3 linked regions of the Mytilus edulis genome follow. The protein of the gene in region 2 binds, or shares a complex with, the protein of the main gene of each other region. Links are inferred from orthologs where the notes say so. Each region holds a gene or a part of one and is shown on either strand. Other genes may lie near its edges.

Evidence for each region.
Region 1: U6 snRNA-associated Sm-like protein LSm4 (region 2) and peptidyl-prolyl cis-trans isomerase H-like share a complex: the UniProt entries of both Homo sapiens proteins name them as parts of the U4/U6-U5 tri-snRNP complex. The link is inferred for Mytilus edulis from reciprocal best matches to the Homo sapiens genes LSM4 and PPIH.
Region 3: U6 snRNA-associated Sm-like protein LSm4 (region 2) and U6 snRNA-associated Sm-like protein LSm7 share a complex: the UniProt entries of both Homo sapiens proteins name them as parts of the precatalytic spliceosome. The link is inferred for Mytilus edulis from reciprocal best matches to the Homo sapiens genes LSM4 and LSM7.

The regions. Positions count from the first base shown.
Region 1 is NC_092356.1:36,867,300-36,871,060, forward strand, and holds the start of peptidyl-prolyl cis-trans isomerase H-like, read left to right. Parts: upstream 1-1,080; 5' UTR 1,081-1,120; coding exon 1,121-1,192; intron 1,193-3,761. UniProt on the Homo sapiens protein: PPIase that catalyzes the cis-trans isomerization of proline imidic peptide bonds in oligopeptides and may therefore assist protein folding. Participates in pre-mRNA splicing.
Region 2 is NC_092344.1:91,103,681-91,107,441, reverse strand, and holds the start of U6 snRNA-associated Sm-like protein LSm4, read right to left. Parts: upstream 2,273-3,761; 5' UTR 2,160-2,272; coding exon 2,157-2,159; intron 1-2,156. UniProt on the Homo sapiens protein: Plays a role in pre-mRNA splicing as component of the U4/U6-U5 tri-snRNP complex that is involved in spliceosome assembly, and as component of the precatalytic spliceosome (spliceosome B complex).
Region 3 is NC_092347.1:82,007,622-82,011,382, forward strand, and holds the start of U6 snRNA-associated Sm-like protein LSm7, read right to left. Parts: upstream 2,793-3,761; 5' UTR 2,779-2,792; coding exon 2,662-2,778; intron 2,484-2,661; coding exon 2,375-2,483; intron 1-2,374. UniProt on the Homo sapiens protein: Plays a role in pre-mRNA splicing as component of the U4/U6-U5 tri-snRNP complex that is involved in spliceosome assembly, and as component of the precatalytic spliceosome (spliceosome B complex).

The sequences.
Region 1 (3,761 bases), on a different chromosome or scaffold from region 2:
TATAGTGTATGCTTATTTACCTTATGTAAGATCAAATACCATTATTAACACTTCTTACTGTATATTTGTTTTCGGTGGTAGCCGTGACTCAAGTTATCAAGGAGTGATAGTGAATATTTTTTCTACATTATGCATAGATCAAGGCCAAATCTAGGTTGACTTTAAGCATGTTAAGCCATGATTTGTTTACTAGTATATGGTTATGGTAATTTAGTGCACCGATTTTGAACCTGTATGTTGGCTGCAAATTAGGAGTGGCTATAAATGCAATATGATTTTGTTTAGATTAAAATGCCGTGGCACGAGTAAAGCCACCATGTTTTAACTAGTTTCAAAATCACTATAGTAATATTTCATTGATACAATTTTAAAATCTCTCTGCCTTAAGAAAACGGTCACGTTACACAGACCACGTACGTAACGGGTATATGGATGGTATTTGAATCTATGATCATGTATCGCCATCAGTTTGATAATAAAATAGCTGAAATTTATCTGTCAATACTTTTGGGGCATGCAGACCTAGCCTGAATGTTAGCTATAGTCGGTCATTAGTAGCGAAGACATATACTATGTTAGTTTGTCTATGTTTGTAATGGGAACAGTAGGCTATATCTAATTATACTTTTGTTCCTGGTATTAAAATAAGCTTTTGTTTAGATAAAGAAAATCTGAATAAGGTGTTTTGTGTCAAACTGATTTATCTTACCATTACGACCATTTTACAATAAGAAAAGATAACATGTAGACTTTATAGTGAATCTATAGCATGCGCCGGAAAGTAAACATCAGTACGTTGATGGTTTTCTGTAACAAAAGAAGAGAAGAGAAGAAGATAGTGAATGTACAGTAACACAGCCAAATGTTGAAAAAGAAAAAAAATAATACCAGGCTACCTTGGGTTGTACAAGTCAAGTTTAATACTTCTATATATATGCTTATATTACTATTTTTTATGTGAATTGAACAATTCTTATACACTCCCTTTTTTTCTACTCATATTTGTTTAAGTAAAAAAAAAAAGCGTGTGTAAATTTCAATTATACGGAAGTCCGTCTGATTTAACTTAGCTTTACCCAACTTAAAAGTACGTAAAGGGAGATAATAAAAAGCCGACAACATGTCGTATTCAGAAAAACCAAATAACACTAACAATCCCGTTGTTTTCTTTGATATTTCCATTGGAAACACAGTACGTATGATCATTTGAATATCTTCAATACACAATTACACGCGACCGACATGTTATGGTTTAAATAGAACATAGTGACGATTTTAGAAAAAAAAGGGGGGGGGGGGGTAAAACTTATTTTGGCGGAATTTTTTTATGGAGGCGGTGTTCTAAAACAACAAAAAATAACACGGGGAGGTGAATGGGCACTCTTTATATGCATAGACGTGTCATGGATTACTCTTTGTTTAATGTATCCTTTTTCAGGCTTAAACATTTGAGGTTTTCATTTATGATTCTTGTTCTTTGGCTTTGCTGTTAGCATTTATAGGGGATGAACTTGAAGTATGATTGCCAAGGAGACAACTATCACAGTTATTAGTATTCAAAATATGAGCATTTTCACACTATGACTATAATCTTAGTTTATCATAACAAATATTATATGGCTGTATTATATTTACACCTCAAAAACTACTCTGTGTACAGACTTACCTGTCCAGTTGGAAATGTTTTAATGCCTGGCATCCACTATATAGATATATGAAAATTAAATGCATTTTTCATTTCAGAAAGATTAAATCTTTTTTTTGTGTTTTAATGGGCATTTTTTTTCATTCCTGCACAAGGTATAAAAATAAACGAAGTGATTTTACAACTTGGAGATGTTCCCTCTCAGGTATAAACAACTCTTTTTTTTATTTAAATTGATTGTCATGGACAATAGAAATCTACACAACTATAGGTGAGTTAAAGGGTGTAATTGAGTGGACAGTATCAAATGCAATTCAGGTGGTTTTTTTACACCTTCTGCAGGAAGGGAAAAAAATGCCCATCAAAATCCAGGAATGATTTATTTTTCTGAATCACAAAATGCGTCTAAATCTTAAATATCTAGTGGATGCCAGGCATTAAAAACTTCCAAACAGCACAGGTAAGTCTGTACACAAGAGTAGTGTTTGAGGTGTAAATACGGCCATATTTGTCCATTTGTTACAGTCAGGGGTACTACTTGTACAAGTGTATTTTATTTACTTAAAGAAGTGAAAAAAAATATACACATATAAGTAAATAAATAATGTTTGAATAATCTCCCCTTAATTTTCTGAAAAATTTACTTGTATAAGTAAATTTTTCTTACAATCCAACAAATATCCTCAAGTTTTGAGATGTAAAATCATGCCTTTAAAATTTTTTCCCAGGTTTGCTCAATTTTTTTCATTAAAGATCAATGTTTCATCTCATTAATTCATCAAAGAAACTGATTGAGCAAAGATCTTGTATATTTGCGCAAGGCCTTCAAAAATTGCTCCTTTGGGGCTTGTAAATGAGCAGTGTTAAGAAGATAACAAACAAATGGGACTTTCATTGTCCATGAAATTACACTTAAATGATTAGTAAAGACATCTGTAAAGGGTACACAATTTAAAATTCTATTAGAGCAAAGAAATCTTAAGAATTCAAGAAAAGAAGAAAGGATGATTTTTTTACTTATACAAGTAAAAAATTCTGAATGCCTAAGGGACATAACTAAGCCAATTTTTTTTTTACCTATACAAGTAAATAAAATTCACTTGTATAAGTATCCTACAAATTTACTTATATGTGTATATTTTTTTTTACTTCTTCAAGTAAATAAAATACACTTGTATAAGTAGTACCCCTGACTGTGTTATGACGAATCTAATTCAAAGAAAAAAATTACAAACCTCTATATTTATATTTAATGATAGTTTGATCTGTACTACATTTGTAAGTACTAAAGTATAGACTATAAAATTTTAAAAAGGCACTAACATCATGAACATGAAAATGGAAACAATTCAAATGAGAAAACTAACAGCCTAATTTATAACAGAACCATTTATGAAAAACAACTATGCCAGACTATGAGCTATCTACAACCACTGAAGTACCATGACTACAGGTTTTTGACATAGAACAAGCACATAGAAATGATAGAGAAGCGGTGGGGTTAACCATATTTTTGTAGGCTCTCATTTTTCCTCTAACCTTGGACAGGGATGTGACATCACAATAATAGAACAAACTTTAAATACCAGTTGCTTGTCTTAAATTATGGTTCCAAGGATCAAAATAACAATAGATACCAAACACCGGATATGAAAACAAGGAATTGTATAAAAACATAGAGTATCTCAGAGCTCCAGATAAGCTGCATATTTGCGTGATCACGCAATAAAAATTATTAAAAACCCAATGCAATTGCCCATTGCAGGGTTCAATAACCCAATTAATTCAAAGGAAAACCCAATTATATGCCAAAACCATGAGTTTTTAACGCTTTTACTCGCTATCATTTGTGTTATTTAACCTTATCTGATCACAGTCGTAGCGTAAATCTATTTTATAATATTTATAATTGGAAAAATTCTATCGTTCTAAAAATAGAAGTTTTTCGAATTGCTCGGGACTTATCATAACATACAATGATTTAAAACGAAAGTAAATGTCCGCATGTTTTCATCTTCTTTCTTTTTGATAGCTTAGGGAAAGTTATGATAATAACAAAACTCAGCTAGTGTTTTTATGAAGCATCCATCAAACACACGTGCGTGTTTGCATACCT
Region 2 (3,761 bases):
ACAAGTATATTGCAGAGTCCGAAAATGTCATTATTTTCGTATGTTGCATTAAGGTTGGCAAAAGAGTATTGCCCAGCCCAGTGGGAAATACTGGGAAAACCCAGGTTTTACTGGGTTTTACATGGTAACACTGGGCAGTGATTAAACACAAATGCAATACATTTAAAATATTTATAAACATATTTTGTTTATAAATAAGTTAACTTGTTTGAGATTCTTATAATACAAGTGTATACATTTGAGAAAGCATTATTTCAGCAACTACAATGTATGAGAAAGGTGTACATGAAGACACATTCGTGATATTAGGCAAATATTAATGAAAAAAGCCTTTCTCAATAATTCTCTACAAAATCTATAACATGTATATGTACATCACTAATTAATAAGTAATTATTCAGATTAGACACAGATATGTTTACATAACAATAATCAGCCTTTTCATTTTTATAAGTATTAATGACATGACCCTGTCGGGTGTTTATTTAGCAATATGATTGCAAAGCATTTCAAATTTAAACAATTAAATACTTTATTTCACACTACAAAATGTATGTATGTAAGCAATTTAAAACAACAATCATGATATTCTAATTATTCAAGACAACTGGACTTTGATTTTAAATTGGGTGCGAACGTGTAGGGTGCGAACAGACCTTTGATGCGAACATGCCAGGTGCGTACGCAGGGGTGTGGAAATATTTGTTGTAAGCACTTGTCCCTGGGCAAGTAAAACTATAAATTTTACCTGTCCGGAAAAAAAGTTACTTGCCCTGATGATCCTAATAAATATTGAAGTATTTCTTGTTAGCTAATATGTGATTCTTACTAAGCACTGTTGTGCCTGACAAACAAATGAAATCCATTTGTCTATATGTGTAAAAAAAAATTAGGAAAGTAAGAAATTGGTTAACATCAATGGGACAGAAATCTAACAGCAAACCAACCAATGAACAACATGTAAAGGACAATTTTGCAGCAGTTTTTGAATAAAGATTGTAGCCAGTTGGTACATATACTCAATTTGAGGAGTGGACAGTAATTGAAGAAATGCAAACTAGTAAATAATAGTTAAACTATTGATGTTGTGGTGTTTCTCTAAACTGACACTCTTGTTCTAGATTATTTATTATTGTCTTGATGAGCAATTAAAGAGTCCCTTCTAATTTGAAACTTCGACAACACATAATATTGACCTTTCATCAATAAATAAGACAAAAACTTAATTTATTTTGCGAATTTCCATCCTAGATAGCCAGCGGCAAACTGATATCCACAATGGCTGAAATTCTCTGTTTTTTTATATTTTAAATACTCTGTGTTCTCCATTTGCGTTTAAGGTTTTCTACTCGACTCATTACTCTTTTTGTCTTACTTGCCCTGCTTTTTATTAAGTGTTTATCAATCTGAATTGTAATATTATACAAAATTGAAAGAAATGACACTTCCGGTAAATGATGGATAAAACCTAATTGATGATTCCGGCTCAATGGACAAAGCCAATGCAATTTTACGTGACTCCGGTTCGTATACTTATTTTAATTTATTTTGGTAATCAATCTATTTCCGGTATTATGTAATGTTTATCGTCATGAACATTGATGTTTTTACTTGCTGACCATTGGTTTCTTTTACATAAATTAAACATTTTTATACGTTTTGAAATCAATTTTATATTTTTGTTGGAATTGAACTTTGTTTTGTATATTTTTTTACTTGTCCATGGGCAACCAAGACAAAAATAATTACTTGTCCGGTTGTTCAAATGTACGAGTCGGGCATAGCATTTCCACACCCCTGGTACGTGTAGGGTGCCAAAATGTATTGGGCGCGAACAGACCTGATACCCTATTGCCTAGCCCAGGAAAATCTGGTTTTTCCCGCCTGGGTTTTCCAGGGCGGGTAATACTTTGCCAACCATGTGTTGCATACATTGGACAATGTTGAATTGATTAATTGAGGTTTCCTGAACGTCCAGTAACAAATACTTCATGCCCGTTTCGGACGACAGTGTTGTCGTTGGAAACTCTCTCTAAAATTGTGAGTTTTCAATTGAATAGTTTACTTTAACAAGTACAAAACATTTCTTGTTCTTAATAAAGAAGCTAAAACATAAATTCATGTACAAATAGGCCAGTTAAATGCTAAATTGGTACCATTTTCTGAATCGAAATTTCTACGAATTTGCCGGCGCATTTATGGTATGGTTGTGAACCTGAATATAAAAGAAGAACGAAATGTACTAAATTGTTTGCTTGTTTATCCCAATATTCAAATCATTTTCAATTTAATTTTATTTGCATTTAATGATCAGTAATCAAAATTTATAGATAATAGGCAATTTCGGTTTTCATTGACGACAAAATCATGTTTTATAAGACATGTATTTTTGGTTTGCAGAGAGATTTATTTTTTTGGTTTACGATAGTTAGTCGTTATACATTGACAAGTAATAATACATTAAATCAAATATGATTCAATGGTTTTTTGTCTTATTAAAGCTGCATCAAACAGTTCGTCACAATTTTATTAACTTAATTATGTAAATTGAAGAGGCAAAACCTTTTTTATTTTTGTTCAACTTGAAAGTGATGATTTCTATGTTATCAATGGCAACATTTTAAAAATGATTCTATAAACACTGATCAGAGTTCACATACCCGTAACGGTGCCAACGCATAGGCGGATCCAGTTTATGAATGTTATAACATTTCTATACTTATATGTATTTTCTGACATCTTTATGAATCATCCCATTTGATTTTTCAATCGTTAAAAAACAGCATAAAAAGAGTTGATGTATGACGCTTTACCAGTACAGTTATTACTTGCATGCGCTCTTCGAGGTTCGCGTTTTAGTATAGTTGTTGCTATGGTGCTTTCTTTGAGGTCCGCGTTCCCAGTATAAATAGTGAATAGTTACTCAGTTAAAAGTCGTTATTTGTACCGAATATAGTGAACGTAGAAGATTAGCATCATGCATGTCAACATTTGTTATACCCGGTGCTGAGAACAGTTTATCTAAGGCAGCAACCATTTGATTTTCTGGGGGTGGGGGGGTGGGGGGGGGGGGGGGGGGAGGGGGGGGGGGGCGGCTATGGTTTTTTTTGGAAAAAAAAGTTTGTTTCCAGTTTTTGGAGAAAAAAATAATTTGTTTTTGATTCTGAGAAAAAAAAATTGTTTGTTTCACCCTCAGCTGCCACTATATGTAATGCTAAAATTGAAAGAAAAAAATTGTTTTCGACTTGTCGCGAAAAAAATAGATTGTTTTTTTCGCCAGAGGCGAGAAAAAAAAATTGTCCAGAAAAAAAAACATATCCCCCCCCCCCCCCAAGAATTTCAAATGGTTGCTGCCTAACAACACATATATTCCTGCTTTGTGTCAAAGAAGTAATCTCAAGTCCTCAGTCTTTTGCCCTAAAAAAAAACCAACCCCGTAGCAGATTAGAAAGCAGGATTAGTTAAAAAAGTGAAGTGTTTGTAAGCTGCTGACATGATGTAGATCTGAAAAGCGGATCATTATAAAATGTAAGACTGAGAAGAATATATATATAACCTAATGTTGATTTTAATTAGAGGAAAGGTTGAAGAAAGCAAAAAGTACTTTTTAACGCTGCTACACCTCTGTAAACTTTCCTTTCCGCCTATCAAACCACTATTTAAAACAAGATTGCATGACTATTCAGTTATTGGGTGCGTTCGATTAGGAACTGGCTGGTTACCAGTTGTAAACGTGAAATGTACACTTTACCTTTCATTAA
Region 3 (3,761 bases), on a different chromosome or scaffold from region 2:
AAAGATGAAACCTTGAACTTCACAGGAAAAATACTCCCACTGCTGGGAAAAATCTTTTAAGAAAGTATCAGTTCATTATGTAAAGCCATTATTATAGCATTTTTTCAACTAAAATATAATTTGCAGCTAAATGATAGCATCAAAGGCATAAACCTTGATACTTAAAAGAAGCAAAAAATTCATTTTTTTCAATTTAACTAATGAAAAGATATTTTTTAAACCTATGTGTTTCAAATTTTGGTAAAACTACAAAATCACAATTTGTGACAAAACTTCGAATTTGCTACTCAAATAAGTGATTTAAAAATCACTTATTTCAGTAAGTCCCCTGACTGCTTAGGGGGTGAACATGTGAGGTGCTAACATGTAGGGTAAGAAAGTATATTGGGTGCGAACGGACCTGATACCATAAATCCAATGGCCTTTATAGCTACATGTACTACATGTATGATAATGGATTTGCTCCTTTAAAGGTTAGTATTTAGGCTAGTCCAAATAATTATGACGTCTGGCAAGGCTATTTTATTTTTTTTCTGAGACGCCTTGCTACGACGTCATAACGCTGAATCCACTTTTAACATCTGGACTTTGAGAGCAAATTTGGGGGGAAACTTTGCGACCTAGGCTAATTTTGACATGAAATTTTCATTGCCGGCTAGAAATTTGTACATACCGGTAGTTACAAAGTCTTCCTTTTTTGTGCTTATTGCCAATATTGGTGCAAAATATTTCCAGAAATTTTTTATTGATAAAATAAGATACAATTCCATTTGAGGTGGACAAATATTTATTTTGCTTACAACATGATATCTCAGAACTACCAAAATATGTCATTACCAAAGAGTATAAAATATTAAACACTGTAAAATTTGACAGATCTGAATTTCCGGATAATGTAAATCGAACGTTCTGGAAATTCAGGTCTATTAAATATCACTGATTTGAATATTTTATATTCACCGGAATTGACGTTATATGGGAGTTCTGGGATACATCAAACTTTTTCAACAACTTTATTACATTTAGATTGTAATATTATGCTTTGAATAAATCCTAGTTCTTTGTATTTTCTTTTTGTAGATATTAGTATGAACAGTTTGAGATGATTATATAGATAATATAATGAGGCATGATGTAAGGACTTTAATATTCAATTGCAAGGTATACATGTATTTTGAAGGTATCTGGATGATTTGTTCCAACTTTGATTCGTACCAACAAATTCGTCCCAAGTTGCTTGGTCAGTTCGTTCCAACTTATTCAAGAACAGTATTAAACAATATTAACCATTTAAATAGCCTTAATATTTTAATTTTTAATGCTGTACTGATAAAAAATTAATATCAATACGTATCTAAAAATATTCTATGGTTTATTAATTGGGAAGAACGATATATTGGGCATGATATATATTGATAATTATTAATTATTAAGGTAAGTTTTTCATGACAAATTTAATATTTTAAATATGAATAAAGTGACTAACAAGTGATATTTTCAAAGAAATCGTTATCATTATAATTGATTATTGTATTTCAATGATGTGCGCATAACAGTTGTTAATGCATTCATCAAAAGAATAATATCGTACTTATCTTGGGTCATAAACGCTTGTCAATAATAATTGATGGGCTGACATACCACATTTGCTATGTTTTTCTTGCGTGCATCGTTACTACTCATTAGCACTGGTTGTGTATTTTTTACAATATTAAAATTTACTCAGTGTCCTTACATACGAAACTGAAAAAAAGTAAGTAGCCACAAACAGATCACAGTCCAAGATGATGGAGCTTTGGGACAGCTATAGAAGACAGTATATTTGCGTTATGGAATTTCCGACTGCAGATTAACCACATAGAAGTAGAAGTAGAAGACAGCAAATTACAGTTACCCAGTTGCACTTATCATTGTGCCATCCGTTGACCAGCAAAATGAAATATGTGAAAGACTATTGAACGATTATCTATGAACTGTTAGGATGAACATATGTTATTGAAAAACGATCTTTTATATGAAAAATGCAGAAAAAATGGACAAGGAATTGCTGATTTTTGCTGTGCACTGTAGGTTGAATTACACAAATACAGTGATATACGGACATATACATTATAAAAAAGTTGGAACAAATTGTTAAGTCTGATTTAATAATGAACTTAATCAGGTGGAACACATTGTTTAATCTGATAAATAATGAAATAAATCAGTTGGAACGAATTGACAATTGACTTGGTACAAATTGTCCAAATCTGGAACGAACTGGCTTGGAACGAATCGGACTTGGAACGAATTGACAAGCATTCATTTAGAAAGAGAAATAGTTTATGTTCGAACGAGAATAACGAGGTAGAACATATTTTACAATTTTAGTTACCTTCTCTACCTCCACTAAATTTGACTCTGATGGGTTTATCTAAGTATTTAGATAAGTCAAGAATAGTTTCTTTCTTTTTCTTTTCTCTGTCTCTATCTCTATCTGAAAGCTAAAAAGGAAATAAAAAAAATCTTTAATGAGTAAAAAAATATTTTTACCAACACTGACATCAGTGCAACACTGGTTTTTTTTTTTTTTACGAAATTCAGAAACATCGGTATACACTAATTTATGTCTCATTCAGTTTTTGTCGTGTGAATTCGGAATCTTAATAAAACAGTTATTACCTGCTGTTGTGGTTTCTGTGACATTTTCAAAACGTGCAAATTTCGTTGCCGGCAAAAATAAAACCGGAAACGAGAAAGGGAGGTAAACGAAAGAGTTGATAAATCTGAAAACCACATAACAATATGATATAAAAATAGACCGAATGGACATTATCTTCTGAAAATAAGGTCTAGGTCATAGAAACTCTGTCAGACAGATAGTGTACCCATTACAGGGCTTACAATAATTCCAAACACCTAATATATACTGAGCCAAAAATATTTGCAACAAACTTATAAAATTAGATTTTACTGACTATCTTAATACACCTTATCGCTATTCCCGGCTGACCCGTCCGCTTGAACTTTTGACGTCAACAACAATCACTTTTCCATTGTGGCGTCAATCATTTTGTTTTATGACGTCAAAATTTTACGGGAACCTGTGTGATTTCCAGCAATGGCGGACAAATAGCGATAAGGTGTATGCGACAAGCTTGATTATTTTAACATCTAGTTATTTTTAGGATTGTCTGACTAATCTGATTAAAATACAAATCATGTGTTCACAATTCGCTTGTAAGAAAAGCATGCACACAAACTATGTATATTTATCCGATTGGTATGCTCAATGCGTTTTAAAAACAAATGGGAAAGTTCAAATAGTGTGCTCGGGTTACTGTCTGAAATGTTTTTACAAACAACACTGAATGGGTCAGATTCAGTGGACAACTCAAGCACTTGTTACAACAATATACACTAAGTTTGATATAATCGTTGATAATTTAGCTTGCAAAAATCTAATAAAATAAAATTGGAAAATATTTTGTAAGTCATACGAAACCATTTGCGTAAGGACTACCTTCATGAGCTTAACTTGATCAGTAAAACCATTTGAAACTTTTTAACAATTCACATTGGTAACAATCCAATGAAAAATGTCTGGATCCTCTTCTGTAGAGAGGAATGTGCTTAATTTTTCTTCTTCATGTTTGGAGTTTTTGTGCACGATAAAATCTTATTAATACTTTTTTTTTGTGTTTTCGTTCATTTACCATGCGCTTTTATGGATTGTAGTATAAAATCAATTATGACATAACTGTTCGACACGGCTGGTAATA